Linked DNA regions of Schizosaccharomyces pombe. Changing the gene in region 3 together with the main gene of any one other region gives a genetic interaction. Each region holds a gene or a part of one and is shown on either strand. Other genes may lie near its edges.

The links. A genetic interaction does not mean that the proteins touch.
Region 1: mutations in SPOM_SPCC663.09C (region 3) and irc20 together harm fitness more than expected from each alone (negative genetic interaction), as found in Schizosaccharomyces pombe (one large-scale study listed by BioGRID).
Region 2: mutations in SPOM_SPCC663.09C (region 3) and hst2 together harm fitness more than expected from each alone (negative genetic interaction), as found in Schizosaccharomyces pombe (one large-scale study listed by BioGRID).

Annotation. Positions count from the first base shown.
Region 1 is NC_003424.3:4,657,020-4,664,343, forward strand, and holds irc20 (ATP-dependent DNA helicase), read left to right. Parts: upstream 1-2,077; 5' UTR 2,078-2,236; coding exon 2,237-5,558; intron 5,559-5,577; exon of another isoform or gene 5,578-5,598; coding exon 5,599-5,864; intron 5,865-5,902; coding exon 5,903-6,102; intron 6,103-6,144; coding exon 6,145-6,185; intron 6,186-6,225; coding exon 6,226-6,524; 3' UTR 6,525-6,824; downstream 6,825-7,324. Other genes in the region: ornithine decarboxylase Spe1, read right to left, coding at 1-999.
Region 2 is NC_003421.2:1,326,762-1,331,290, forward strand, and holds hst2 (histone deacetylase, Sirtuin family, NAD-dependent Hst2), read left to right. Parts: upstream 1-2,190; 5' UTR 2,191-2,336; coding exon 2,337-2,415; exon of another isoform or gene 2,416-2,417; intron 2,418-2,472; coding exon 2,473-2,849; exon of another isoform or gene 2,850-2,916; coding exon 2,917-3,459; 3' UTR 3,460-4,029; downstream 4,030-4,529. Other genes in the region: ribosome quality control complex subunit Rqc2, read right to left, coding at 1-1,369, 1,415-1,546. UniProt on the Schizosaccharomyces pombe protein: NAD-dependent histone deacetylase, which could function in telomeric silencing, cell cycle progression and chromosome stability.
Region 3 is NC_003421.2:1,648,256-1,652,191, forward strand, and holds SPOM_SPCC663.09C (dehydrogenase), read right to left. Parts: upstream 2,086-3,936; 5' UTR 2,035-2,085; coding exon 1,273-2,034; 3' UTR 785-1,272; downstream 1-784. Other genes in the region: SPOM_SPCC663.08C (short chain dehydrogenase ), read right to left, coding at 1-506; trm44 (tRNA (uracil-O(2)-)-methyltransferase), read left to right, coding at 3,017-3,936.

The DNA.
Region 1 (7,324 bases), on a different chromosome or scaffold from region 3:
ATAAACACCATCGTTTACGTAATACATCACCTTCTCTTCATCATCAAGCTTCCGTTTGGCAATTACATTGACAGCCAAAGTAAACGAAGAAGAGACGAAAAAGCGACCGGGCTCAGAAATAACACGGATGGAGGGATCAAAATAAGTATCCAAGGCAGAGCGAATAAGGTCTGCTACGCCATCAAAGCTGTCATTCATGAAACCACCACCAATGTCCAACAAGTCAAAATTAAATCCCCTTTCAAGTCCCTGATCAAATACCTGACGAGATCGTTGGATAGCATCCAAAAATGCTGAGGGATCATAGCTTCCTGACCCAACGTGAAAGCTAACACCGACGACATTTAACTCCAGGGACTTTGCGATGTCTAGCAGCTTACCAGTATCATCGAGAGAAGCACCAAACTTTAGACTGAGACGGCAAAGACTATTGGAATCATCGGTAGAAATACGAAGAAGAAGACGTGAGTTGGGATGATGTTGTTTCACCTTGTACAGCTCATCGGCATTATCAAAAGTCATCAGATTAATGCCTTTAGAAGCAGCATAGCGCACATAAGTTATGGCTTTACAAGGATTGGCGTATACAATTCGATCAGGGGATACACCTAAGCCAAGAATTTGTTCGAGTTCACCCTTAGAAGCACAGTCAAAACCAGTTCCAAATTTATTAAGCAATGCAAGTACCTTAGGATCAGGATTACATTTGACTGCATAAAATGGTTGAACACGAGGTAATTTAGCATGCCAACGAAGAAGTTGGCGATATACTCCGTTCAAATCAGCAACAAAAAATGCATCAGAGTCAGCGGGTTCACCACGGACAGCTGCACGCTCAATTTCCTCAATCGTGTTTTTAAACGCCTCACCAATCGCCTGGCGAGACGATCCAGGCGAAGACCATGTCACCACTGAGTCAATTGGTTTAACATGGCCAAGTAATTCCGTCGTACGCAACGACTCGCTGACGAGCATATTCTTTTCCATAATAGCAGGCATCGTGTAAGTAAGCTTTTTCTCTTCTAGAAATTCCGAGATCACTAAATTGAATCGTTGAATAATTTTTCTTCGGATACAAGCTAAACAAACGTTTTGTTTGTCAACTGCTCGCTTTACAATAATTTTACTATTTCAAATCAATCAATGATTTGAAATCTGCTGTTGATCAAAAAGTCCTTATTCGAGAGATTGTCTTAAATAGGAGACGTAGACGGAAATTTGCACTTTTATATACTTTTGGTGGTCGCGCAAAAAGAGCGTTTATCCTTCCAGATTCTTTTTCTTACCCACTTGTCACTGTTTTCTGCTAATTCCCAATCGTGTTGTTGGTTAAGGGTAAGTTCAATTTTGCAATGTGTGCGTACATAAAAAAATATTACACACTAGTAGAATTAACCTTAGTTTAGCGTTTGTCTTATTGACATAATAGTCTAACAAATCGAATTGCAATGTAATACGGTAAACGCAGTTTGGTTTAACAATATTTGCGACGACAAGAATCCTTCAAACTAGGATATTTCTTTAATATGTATACAATCTTTAGTTTATATTTTGTACTTTAGTTTATGACAATAACAATAATCTTTGTCCAGTGAAGGTGACATCACTTTTAAAAACTTTCCTACCAGTTTACGTTTTATTTAGAATTTATATTTTTTTGCTAATTGAATTAAACTTGGTAATCGATATATACTTAAAGGATGAGCACAGTGTTTTAGCAATAAGGAATAGTGTGTTTGTACAATACCGAGTAAAAAGGGCTCTTTCTTTTAGCCAGCAAATGAGATATTAAGTGTATCGGTAATTTTAATAGTATTTACAATTTACTTACTAATTAACGTAGATGTTATTTCTTAGGTAATTTTGAGTTCTAATTCGTGTTTGTACTGATTCAACCGTGAATAATAGAATTCCCTTACAAACGATTTATCGATATTTACCTTGTCGTACTTTTAAACCAAAAAAAAAAAGAGGGAAGAAAGGTGGGGAAAAAATACCAAAGTAATATTCGACTCTGCAAGCTTTAGCAAAAAAAAAGTGGCACATGTTTTAATCAAGACACTTTTTGCCCACAACTAAGAACAAAAGCACATAACACAATGCCTACCCTTTTGTGTTCTTGAGGGTTTATATATTTTCGTTTATTTCTTTGTACATTAAAGAATTCTATTCATTCTAAAATTTTTAAGTCTATTGGTTCAAAACACGACTGTATTTAATTAAGAGAGGGAACATTATGGACCGAACTAAGAGGCGAAAAATAGAGAAGGAGGCTTCCTTACTAAATGAAAGAAACAACCTTTTGGAAAGTGATTTCGCCAATTGCTACCGTGCATTCCAGCACCAACTCAAGCTAGACCAGCAGATATGGCGTGGACCAGAGGACGAGTTAAATCGGCTAAAGTCTACTATTTATCCTGTCGTTTTTTGGGTTGATGGATCTGAGAAACTACATGCATATAGTTTTACTCAAAGAAAAATTTCATTGGCCAAAAACTTGATTCCTTTGTTTTCTGTCGACTTGAATAAGGATACTTACTCTGCTTTAAAAGCACCTCTCAAAATTTGGAGTAAGCTTTGGGAGGATAATAGGCGGCTGAAGAAAATTATAAAATACACATCTTATGTTACTGTAAAAGGATCCGAGTTAATTTTGTCGTTTGGCATTTCCATACTCGACTCTTTTCTTGCCCCTCAAGATGCGATTCTTTCATCTGGATCATCTTCCTCATACACTGCTTTACTAGACTATACGTTCCTTCCGTCTGAAGATGAGGAATATTCTTGTTTAGATATTAACACTGCACTATTTTACGATTGTGCAAGAAAATTGGCAAAAAGCCTACGTTTCGCCAATGTATCACGCGATCCAAGGCTTTCTTCGGAACTTTTACCATTTCAAATGCGTGTTTTAGAATGGATGAAACGAAGAGAAGAAGAGAAATTCCTAACCTCAAATGATTTACCACCTCTATGGTACCATTGCAAAAGTCTTTTTGATGATCGAATGGTTTACGTTAATCATGTTTACGGCTATATGACATTTTCGAAAGAAAAAACATATTTGCTTGCGTCCGGTGATATACGTGGAGGCATTTTAGCCGATGAAATGGGCATGGGAAAAACTTTGGAAGTCTTAGGATTAGTTTTGCATCATCAGTTGCCAATTTCTTTGACTGATACTTGTACTTTCGATCAGGTCGTCGGAAAAAATGTAAAGTATTCCAAGGCCACCCTAATAATTACGCCTTCTACAATTCTCGATCAATGGTTATCTGAGATAGATTTGCATGTGCCATCATTGAAAGTATTCCATTACCAAGGAATCCGAAAATCCAATGGTTTGAAATCAGCTAAAATTTTTTTGGATTGTGATATAGTGGTAACATCTTATTCTGATTTACGGTTTGAGCTATTGTACACTGAATCTCATTCCAGGACCTTAAGACATGAAAAGCGACATGTTTCTCCAAAGTCTCCATTGATTGATGTATGTTGGTGGAGAATTTGTGTTGATGAAGCTCAGATGGTTGAAACTTCACAGAGTAATGTCGCACAAATGATTTATCGCATACCTCGTGTCAATTGTTGGACTGTAAGTGGAACTCCCGTACGTAGTGAAGTTGATGACCTTTTTGGCCTTTTATTTCTTCTTCGCTACTCCCCTATGTATTTATACAAAAAACAAGCTTGGATGCAAATTATAGAGAAGAAACGTGTTCGTGAATTTTGCGATCTGTTTGGCTCCCTTGTATGCAGACATTCTAAACAGGACGTTGAAGAAGAATTAAAATTACCTCCTCAACATCGAATCTGCATGACTACAAGACTTAGTGTAGTAGAAGAAACGAACTACCAGGATTTATTATCAGAGGCGGCCAAGTCTTTGCACTTTTTCAAAGACAGAAATTTGGATTTGTGTGACGAAGAATCTATGAGGCGTTGGTTGGTTCGTTTACGACAGGCATGTTGCCATCCGCAGGTTGGATTTGGTAACAAATCCGCATTTGGAGGTGGACCCATGAAAAGCATTAATGATGTATTAGTTTTTATGTTGGAACAAACAAACTCTACATTCTCCTCGTTAAACAGGAAGCTTTATTCCGATAAGATTATTGTTGGTCAAATATATGATCATATTAAAGACTATAATAAAGCATTGGCTATTTGGTCTGAAGTCAGAATACCTGTCGAGCTCGCTGTCAAAGAATTAGAAAATGTTATTTACAACTCTAAATATGAGGACCATGGTAAAAATTTACCGATTAATTATTTTGGTTTGGATCATTTCATTCATCTGCGTGTTTGGTATGTTCTATTGCATAAAATATACTTTTTTATAGCAAGCGCTTATTTTTCTTTAAAAAACGAAAAGTTTGAAAATGAATTTTATTTGCTCGCGCAGGATTTAAGAAGGAAGATTATGAGTGATGTGATTATCAAAACCAGCAAGCACCTTGAAGAGTTTTCAGAAAAATTTATTCCAAAGAAACTTGTCAAAATACCACGATTACAGAAATCTTACGCAAAAGGTCTCATAACCGGACATGGTATAATTGAAGACTATAATAGACTTTATAAAGAGTTGAATGATCAAAAGGAGGTGCTTATAAAATTTAGAGATCGGCTTATCCATTTGATGAAACTTCCACTTCTGGATCAAGAATCGGATCCGACCGGCGATGAATACGAAGAATCATTGAATGCGCAATCAGAGATATCCTATTGTATTGATGTTTACCGTCAAATGCTTTCAGATCGAGTAGCGGCAGTCAGCGGTACTATTAATACCTTTGTGTCTCATGAAACAGAACTTGAGAAATACAAACTTATAGAGAGTATAAAAAAATCGGAGAAATCGTTAGACAAGCAGGCTGAAGAACGTGATAAAAAATATTTGCTTTACTTTGAGGAAAGGGAAGAAGCAAGGCCAAAAGCAGATCAATACGGATCATTAATAAATATAGTTTCAAGACTGTTAGATGCATCAAATAGATCCACCTCAAGTTTTGAAACTTCTAAAAACATGGAAGAATATGAACGGATTGATGCAATGGCAAAGGAGCAATCTAGAATTTGCCAAAAATTGGAAAAAGAATTGAGTATAATTCAGTTGACTTATAATTCAAGGATTGAGTACTATAAACAGCTGCAGGAAATTTCTGACTCTTTGATGCCTCCTCCCGTTTCAAATATCAGTTTAAACAATTACGTTAAAGACGACGAAAAAAAACAAAAATTTTTGAACTCTGTTATAATTAAAGCTTCGGTGATTTTGGAAAAAGAAATTTCAGAAAAGCAGGACGAAGCAAGTCAAACAACAAACGTAGCAGAACTCGTCAATCAAAAAATATCCGAAATGAATATACCTGGACATATCCATCTGCTGCGAGAGCTAGAAGAGGAAAAAAGCAATACCCAACGTAAAATTGCTCACTTCGAATCAAGGAGAAGGTATTTAACAAACCTATATGAACATATTGTCCTTAAAGCTGAATCTCATCAGATTTGTATAATTTGTCGTGATATAATTAAGCAAGGTTTTATAACAACTTGTGGTAAGTATTTGTTGGATCGTTTATCTAGTTAACTTGTTAGGCCATTTGTACTGTAGTTTTTGTTTGGAAGCGTGGTTGAAGCATAGTTCGTCGTGTCCAATGTGCAAAACCAAATTGAACAAAAATAATGCTTACTATATTGGCGAAAGTAGGGATATATACTCTCGTCAAGAGTTTGTCACTGGTTTCAACAAACGAGACGAAAGGCTTGAAATTCTCGACGATGAAGCATACAGGCAAATTTCTAATATGGAGTTAAAGGAGTCATTTGGATCAAAAATTGACACAATATCTAAACATCTTTTGGTAAGCAACATTTGTATTTAGAGTGGATCTAACTTTAGTATTTGAAACATAACGAACTTTATCCTAAAGTTGTTGTATTCTCTCAATGGCTTGATGTTTTGGATGTTTTGCACAAGTCATTTGAAGCGAATGGTATCGTCTTCATACGTTTTGATGGAAAGTCAAAGAACACTTGCCTAAAAAGGTTTAAAGAAGAACGTAGCTTACAAGTACTTACTTTACATGCAAGATCGCAATCGTATGTTTAAACTGTTTAATTATTTGTTCTAATCTTCATTAGATCTGGTTTGACGTTAACAAATGCCACTCACGTTTTCATGTGTACGTCGATATCTGTATTAACAAGTTTTAACATTGACAGGTGAACCATTACTAAATAGTGGAATTGAAATGCAAGCAATTTCACGCGTTCATCGAATTGGGCAAACTCGTCCGACGTTTGTTTACTACTACATTGTGGAAGATACTGTTGAAGGTCATATTTTAAATCTTTCATTGACCAAACATGAGCAGCTTGACAAACTAGGTTTGGATGTACCGCTAGTTGGTAATATCAATCGCACTACTGAAGCTAGCAGCGGCGGAGAACAAGTTGATGCCGCAGAAATTAAAGATTGTCTTAAAATGGCTTTAAAGCGGCTCACCACAGAGGATTCATGAACATGAAAAAATTGATTTTAGAGAATGATGCTGATAGGTCAGGTTTAAACAGAATAAACGGCAATACTGTACTACTTATTGGTGACAGTGATGTATGGTTAATCCTGAAGTACCCCTTCGCTCAATACTGTTCAATTATTCATCTGTTATTAAAGCAAAGCACGAAGCATTAGTTGGTTTTCACTGGTTAGATTGTGCAAACACTTAGAGTCCGAATTACAGGAAACTTATACTTAATTTAACATTGTACTGTTGTATTAATTATAACCACTTTTTTAAATACAAACCTATGTAAATATTAGAAATTAATATAGCAAGAAAGGTCGCATTTCTCATTCTGGGTATTGGATTAAAACATATTGTCTTTGTTTTTCATTGATATCAGCGATGTTACTGGGCTATTAAATGCGATGTTAATTTATAACTATAACTATAGAATGAACATACGTTTGTGCTACGAATATACACTCGTTGTTATTAAGTTATCTTTTTTTTTTTAATAAAAATGAACAGGACTATTTGAACTATGAAACGTAAGTTCTTTTAGCATCATATTCAATTATAGTTAAACAAAATTGTTTATTACTATTAAAATAACACTGATTATCTTTGGAGACATACTTTATATCAAATTACAATAATTATTAATAAAACTCATTGCAATTTATTTTTCTCAACTGCGTTAGCTAATTCACTGCTACGCGATATAACTAATTAACGATTGCTGCTTCAGCTCGATAATTCCTTTTCGTCAAGGATACATTGCGATATAGTCTTAAGAGAGCAAACTGCATAAAGCC
Region 2 (4,529 bases), 320 kb from region 3:
ATAAATCCAATTCAACGGCAATAAACTTTGACGAAACTTTTCCTTCCTTCACTTTATTATCATCATCAGAATCATCCAAATCATCATCGCTGGTTTCTGAACTTTCATCAGAATTATCTACAGACTCTGGATTAGGAAGAAAAACGGTAACGGCGTTTTTTATAAGTTTAAGGGGAATTTGAATAGCAGCAGCTACCGGACTTCTTCTTTTTTGAGATTGAATTAACTTTTCAATATCTAACCAATCCATTCCTTGGTTCAACAGAGAGTTAATGTATGAGATAATAGCCTCAACAAGTTCAGGGTTCATCTCAATTGCCTGAGCCCTCAACGCACAAGTAGCTTGGGCATCTTGTAAACTTTGAAGTTTTCGTGCTTGATCCTCTTTAGCCGATTCAAGCCTTCGCTCAGCTGTCGCTAGGCGATCATGTGCTCGTTTTTTTAGCTTTTGTGCTTCGATAGAAGAGAAAAACTCGTCAACGCATTCGTTATAGGTTGGAAACTCCATGCACTTTCTGTTTGCCTGAACGAGCTGTAAAGGCTGAAAAGGGTGAAAATCTTCGTATAATGTAGTACATTCTTCAGGGTGTTGAGGATCAGCAGCATTTGTTAGTGCTTGCTCCAGTGAAAATATATAACCCTTTACTGGGGGCTTATTAACTGCAGCTAATATGGAGTCGGCTTCTTGAAAAGCAGCTAATAAATCGTTTTTCTTGGTTTCGTCTGCACAGAGCTGGCAAGCAGGGAATAGTGGATCTAATTTTGAACGCCGAAGACAGTGCTCTATAAGTGCATTACCATATTCACCTAATCTTATAGTCAATGCTTTTCTAAGAGAAACTGGTTTGGGTACTTTAATCGGCTTTGTAGAAGAGGATAGTTGTTGGTCAGGTAAAGGTTCGTTAATAGAAGTAGGAGAAGCATAAGCAGTGCTTATTTCATCCAAAAGGATATTTAATCGTTCAGCTGTCATATGAGGAATAGTAGACTGAGATTTATTGTCATTAACGAGATTATTTTTGTCTAAATTGTACTTTTGCCCTACGGCATAAACTTGGTCTTTATCGAAGGTGACCACTCGTAAAAGAGACAGAATCTTGTAATGGCCGTCTAATAGTAAAACATTTCCAGCAGCGAAAAATTCACAAACCAGATAGTACGTCCAATCGGGGTCTTGATCATTCGCACCACCTCCAAATGTGAAAACGAGTACTCGATCAGTACCCAACTGAGAGACACCAGTTAACCTTCTAGATTTTATATGTTTTCGTAGCTTCGTTACAAACCCAGACAAAGGGGCATTTTCTCGATCAAATTTTGTTAAATGAGCACGAAACCCACTTTCAATAACAATAGAATATTTTGCATCCTTTAACGGGTTAGTAAAAAAATATTTATTACTTTCTACACATACTTGTTTACCAAACTTCAACAAGAAGGTACGCGCATTTAGATCATAAAAGTTATTCAAGCGACACCCAACCACTTGTTCTCGTAATTCCGCAGCAATCGCAGCAATATCTAAAGCGGAAAATCTTTGCTTCATTTACGTCTATAACACCTATCTAAATGAATTTCTGCGTTACAACAAAATGAAGTATAGGCTCTAGTTAGAATGTAAACATGTGTATAACGTAAGTGAAACTGAAGCACTAACAAAGCGCAATGATATCCGCAATATGTAATAAGGAAAATTATAGCACACCATTGCACCATAAAACGGTGTACATTAGCAGCATTAAAATTCTTAGCGCAAATTTGGATTGTTCTCTCAAATTCATTATTTCTTTCCCGACGATGATTCTTTAATCGTACATTTATAGTCGTACATGACACTGATTATAAAGATAAAAAATAGTTAACTAATGATAAACTTATAAAAAACTTTGACACCTAATATGTCAAACTGGTGTGACCAACCCAATAAGTAAAACCAGAAAGTCAAGAGTTATCGTTGCTGAATCTAATCAAGTGAGCCGAAAGTTGATTAATCATAATTTCTGATTACCCCGTATCTCATTTTTTCAACGACATCCAGAAACTCTTAATTGAAAAAGATGGCTCTAAATGTTTACCAAATAACGAGTACTAAAGTCGAATACAATAGCCTTTTAAACAGTATAATGCAGTTTAATGGAGCATCGGTAATGGCGTTTGATATTTTCAACGAGTAAATAATAATGGAAATTTGGCGTACCCACAAACTTTGTGCATTAACATATTGATTTGTTCATATCTGAGAATTTTAAGTGATCCAATTTTTGAAAGAGTTTGAGTTGGGATTTTTAAGGTAAATCGATTATTGGCTTGCTTTGGTTGTTCTCAGAAATTCGACAATGGTGAAAAACACTGTTAAACACGTCGACTCTTCCAAGCATTTAGAGAAAGTTGCATCCTTAATCAAAGAAGGAAAAGGTAATGACTTTTAATTTTCTTTCCTTGACCATACTAATGCGATTTTATCGAAAATAGTAAAGAAAATATGTGTTATGGTTGGTGCAGGGATCAGCACTGCAGCAGGAATCCCTGATTTTCGAAGCCCTGAGACTGGAATTTACAATAATTTACAAAGATTTAATCTTCCTTACGCAGAAGCTGTTTTTGATCTATCTTATTTTCGAAAAAATCCGCGTCCATTCTACGAATTGGCTCACGAATTGATGCCTGAAAAGTATAGACCAACTTATACTCATTATTTTATACGCCTTTTACATGATAAAAGGTTACTACAAAAATGTTATACCCAAAATATTGATACCTTGGAGCGTTTGGCAGGTGTGCCTGACAAAGCTCTGATTGAAGCACATGGCTCTTTCCAATACAGCCGCTGTATTGAATGTTACGAAATGGTAAGGATTGTTTTTGAAAAAGTTAAAGTGAAAAAGCAGAAATTGGTTTTACTGACGGAAAACAAAGGCGGAAACGGAGTATGTTAGAGCATGTATTATGCAAAAACAGGTCCCTAAATGCAACAGTTGCAAAGGTCTCATCAAACCAATGATTGTGTTTTATGGCGAGGGATTACCAATGCGTTTCTTCGAGCACATGGAAAAGGACACAAAAGTCTGTGATATGGCACTGGTAATTGGAACAAGTTTACTTGTTCATCCATTCGCGGATTTGCCTGAAATAGTGCCAAATAAATGTCAACGAGTTTTGATTAATCGAGAACCAGCTGGCGACTTTGGGGAGAGAAAAAAGGATATCATGATATTGGGGGATTGTGATTCCCAAGTACGTGCGTTATGTAAACTATTAGGATGGTCTGATGAATTGGAAAAGTTGATTGATACGAGTGTTGAAACGCTGACAGAAGAAATATCTTTACTTTCTGTTGACTCTACAATAGAAAAGAATGCCTCTGAACAAAAGAAAGACGATAACTCGGTCAATCCTTTCACTAAAATAGAGGAGAAGAAAAAAGACGAGGTGACGCTGTTAGTTTCTGATGATGAATAGTTCAGTTATTCGGGAAATTTTCTATATTGTCATGATTAAAACTAGGAGATCCCTATATTTATTATACTAAGAAAACGGAAATTCACGATTCGGTTTGATGAATATTTGAATCTACACATACGATTCGTTTTCTTTTAAACAAGTTTAAATACTTTTTTTTATTTCAGCAATTTTATAATATTTCCTTCCAGGCGTCCTTTTGATTGCCTCTTAACCATGAATCATATTGCTCTCTTTATGAGTTGTATGCTGGGTTAAACTAATGCGAAAAGGATAACAAAAAGGGGGTTCTGTATACGATCTCGATCAAACTCATGAAGATGCCCTCGCATTTTCGTGAAAATAACTTGCATTTTTTTTAAAATTGGCGTCCATCTATATACGCAATTTGGGTTATGAGAAAGTTGCGCTAGAATAATTGATAATGGTTTCAAATTTACTGCACTGTAATCTAATACAATCTTTGTCGAAACCTTTTTTCTGTTCAGTTTGGAACATATAGTTCTGAAATGGGAGATTATTCATTTTCATTTAATAAAACTTTGAATTATCCAAGAATTGGAAATAGGAATAATTAATCAAATTGTTCTTTTTGTAGTTTCATTCAAGAATAATGCTTCCTTTGAAAAACTAAAGCGTTTTCTACGAATTGTATATTGTAACAGGGGACGGTGTATAAACCAGTTAGTCCATCATCATAACCAGTTCTGATTTGAATTTTGTTCTTGTGGTCATTATTGTTCATAAAATGAACTAGAGATGTAAAGACATAATTCATATTACAGAAAACAAGTATCTAAGCGCTTGAACAATTATCAGTTAATTTTAGAACAATTATTAAATTTATATCTATTTTATCTGCATATATCTATGTACCTTTGGGTAACTTATGAGTTGTACGAATTACTGACTACATGGCTGTCACCTCCTGTTCGGTTTGCTAAGAATTTACCGATTCTAACGCTTCCTTCTACCTAGCTATACAAGATTCATGAATTTGATCTATATGAATGCTTAGCAAATAAATAATTGTTCGAAAGCCAGATATATGATTTATAATTAACGTTTTT
Region 3 (3,936 bases):
ATCGTATAATTTAAGGCAGCCTTAGATTGGCCATAAGCAGATTGACTTGAAGGGAAGAAAGCTCCCATGGATCCAGCTAATGATGAAGTAAAAACAATGATTTTAGATCTTCCTTTTTTTATAAGAGGATAAAAGGCTTGGTAGACATGAATTGGTCCTAAAACATTGGTTTTATAGTGAGAGTTCCAGACATCATCAGGAGTATTTACGACAGGACCAAAAGAATGGAAAACGGCTGAATTTACCCAGAGAACATCCACTGCATCAACTACTTTTGTAACTTCTTGAGCGGCTTCATTGGCACTCTCTAGAGAGGAGACATCTAACTTAATAATGTGCACATTGGAATGAGACTTGCTCCATTCTTGTAATTTAGTAGCAGCTCCAGGCTTGCGGGCACTTGCAAATACAACTGTTCCTTTTCTGTTGCTCAATTCCTTAACAAGAGAGAGTCCAATGCCTCGATTTCCTCCTGCAATAAAGTAAATTTTGTTGGTAGTAGACATATTCTAACACAATGTTTGAATGATCCTTGAATCCGTTTGAAAAGTGGATAATTTGGTGTCGGCAATTTATCATCAACTTCATGCTTATATACCAATTCTTCAAATCATTATGCTTACGTGATTTGAACCGTGAATTTTGATGCTTACATAATTGAATATACTCAGCGACAAGTTCATAAAAATTCATCGTATAGAACTTATTGTACTTTGTATTAGAAGACAATATAAATACATTTACAACCTATTTAGACGGTTTTTTAAACATATTCCCTTAATTCCGCTTTAATAAATTAATCAATTTCAGTTAAATTATTCTTCTGTTTCTGGTTTCTTTGACAAAGCATCATATAGATGATATGTATTTGAAGTTACTCACATGAGAATGCTGAGTTGCCAGTCGTATAGAAAAGCTTTAAATTGGGTACAAACAAACGACTCTTTAAATTGCTCCACCAAAAAATAAATTTATAAAAAAACAAGATAGCCGTAAGATGATCGATCACTCGGGAGTCATTTTTTGGACGATAAGCCTTATACGAATGAATACTCAAATTTGTTACATGAAACACATCTTTTAGATGTCCATGCTCACTAAATAGTTATGTTAAGCTTTTTTAAAGTTCTGAAGGCTTGTAAATATTTGTAAGGGCATGTAAATTCAACAAAAAAGAACGATTGTTTGAACACAACATCGTGCTGTAATCTAGACTGCAAAAACATCTTTAAAAAGGGGCATCAAAACCATCATGACTAACAAAAGATATGTCTAAAAGGGAATAATGGTCCCGTCATATCTATAAAAAGACCCGTTGTTTTCGGGTTTCAAATTGTCAACCACCTTAAGCATGGATGAAACGCTTTCTTCGGGTATGATAGTAACCTTTTTTAAGTAAGTCAGCATCTCGGGAGATGTTTCAGTAAATTTTTTGATAGCATCAGCATTCATATCAGTCTTTACTACTCCAGGATGAATGGAAATGAATGTGAAGTGTTCATCAGCTAGTTCGACACTAAGTTCCTTCATAGTGAAATTGATTGCTGCCTTGGACTGACCGTAGGCAGAGAATCCAGTAGCACGAAAGTCGCCCATTGAGCCGCATTCACTGGAAGTAAAGATAACCTGTCTGGTTTTTTTCTTTGTCAACAACGGATAAAAAGCTTTGAACACATGGATAGGTCCTAAAACATTGGTTTGATAATGAGCATTCCAAACTTCTTCAGGTGCTTCCATAACTGTATAGTAAGATTGACAAATACCAGAGTTCAACCAAAGAACATCAATTCCATCGACCGCCTTCGCAACGCTTTGAGCAGCTTCATTGGCACTCTGCTGAGATGTGACATCTAATTCAACAGTTTTAACATTAGGATGAGATTTGCTCCATTCTTGTAATTCAGTAGCAGCTTCGGGTTTGCGAGCACTCGCAAACACAGTCGTTCCTTCTCTACTGCTTAACTCTTTGACAAGAGAGAGTCCAATACCACGATTTCCTCCTGCAATAAAGTAAACTTTGTTGGTAGTAGCCATCTTTATAGTACAATCTCAAAGTCGTTTCTCAATTAGTTTTTGGTTAATAGTAACTGACACTTCCTTGGTGTTTTGCTGTACTTTTATTGATAAGGAGTGTTTGTTCGCTATTTCGTTTACGTGTGAAGAGCTGTGACATTTTGCACACGTTTGATTTTCTCAACCAAAAGCGTCAAATTTCATTCTACAAAATTCTATCGGTATTTGCTGCTTGATATTAACAGTCTTTTTATATGGGACTTGCATAAAATAAAAAAAGTAGAAGCCGTGTTAATTAATGAAATCGAAAATTTTGATTGTAGAGCGTAGTAAAGGATGAAAAAATTTTAAGAACTACTTTTCCTCGTTTTTGAAATCTTCCGGTAGAAAGAACTTGTCAGATTATAATAAAACAACTACAGAATCTATCTCATACATACATCGAAGCTGCAATTTTTTCTCAGGTTACTGGTTCACCTCTTAGGTCAATTTGCTCTACCAATTTAAACCCTCTGTAAGATAATATTTTTGTTGAGGAGAAAGAGAGAATCGTATATAGAGTGTCTTAGTAAGATTATATGACATGAAGTTTTACAGCATCTCAAGATTAGGCTTCTTTACGACTATATGACCAATACAAAATGGATGGAAATTTGCGAATAAAAAAATTCGCAAAGTTTACCTTATGGAATTAATATTTACCTGTTTACTCATTTGAAAGGAGCTTAGACCCTTAAGTTCCCCTTTAGCAATTCCTGAACTCATGGAAATGCTAGTTAAACTTTGAGCAAACCATTTATTCAATCCTTTCTCCCTTTTTACTACAGGAAAAGACACAGATTCAAATGTTTTTGAAATCTCCAACGCATCCGTATTTTATTTAACGTATATTAAGCGTTCCTTAAACATGCTTAAAATTAAGCGCTAGAGTTTCCGACATTTTTTTTTCTGCTAACAGTACTTTCGTACTTGTTCAATTGAAAGGTTTTTGCGCATTGCATTTATGAAGGTTCCTGCGTATTGGAAGCCGCGAGAACCAAAAAATGCTTTGACATGTGATCCACCTGTTCCTTATGACTTGCAGTCATCTTACCAATGGCAATCCATTTTGGAGCACGATACCTGCTATGCAGCTGAGGTATTTGACAAAATGATGATAGAATTAGTCTATCATCCAGAGCGGACAAGCAGTGTTATCATGCGAACAGACATAATTCTTGATTCTCAAGAGGATGATTCAATTCTAAACAAGCAGAAATCAGTTTTCGAAAATCTTGACGAAAGGTACCAAATTTCAAGGTGGATCGATCGTCGAATTATTCCTCGTAATACTAATTTGGATGCGACAATGGACCAAACGGTTGTTGTGCTACATGAGAAGCTTGAAAATGATCGTATATTAATGTACTTACCTCACCTGGACAAAAGTTTGGAACAGCCCTATAATCATCTTCCATACTATCATCCCGCAGTAGCTGGAATTGCTTTTCATTACAAAGGATCAAGTGTTGAGGTTTTATATTTAGTAGAAAAGGATTTTCAAAGGGAATTGTCTTCCCGTTTATTGCGAACAGCTCATATGCTTTTACTTGTTTTACACAAGCATTGCAAGGGGGCAGTGGAAGGGTACCAAAAACGCATGCTTCACGACACTGTTGTGGAAAGAAACAAGTTTCAAGATACCTATGTTATTCTGAAAGATAAATACGCCAAGCAACTTGTTGACAATTGGGTAGAAAAAACGGATCCTGGTAAACACGTTTTCGAAGATTTGGCTATTGCAGCATTTCTTATAGAATTGTGGAAACAAACTTATTCATCAAACAAAGAATTTAGTTTTGTTGATGTTGGTTGCGGAAATGGTTTACTTGTTTATCTGTTGTTAATGGAGGGCTATAATGGATATGGCTTCGACGCTAGAAA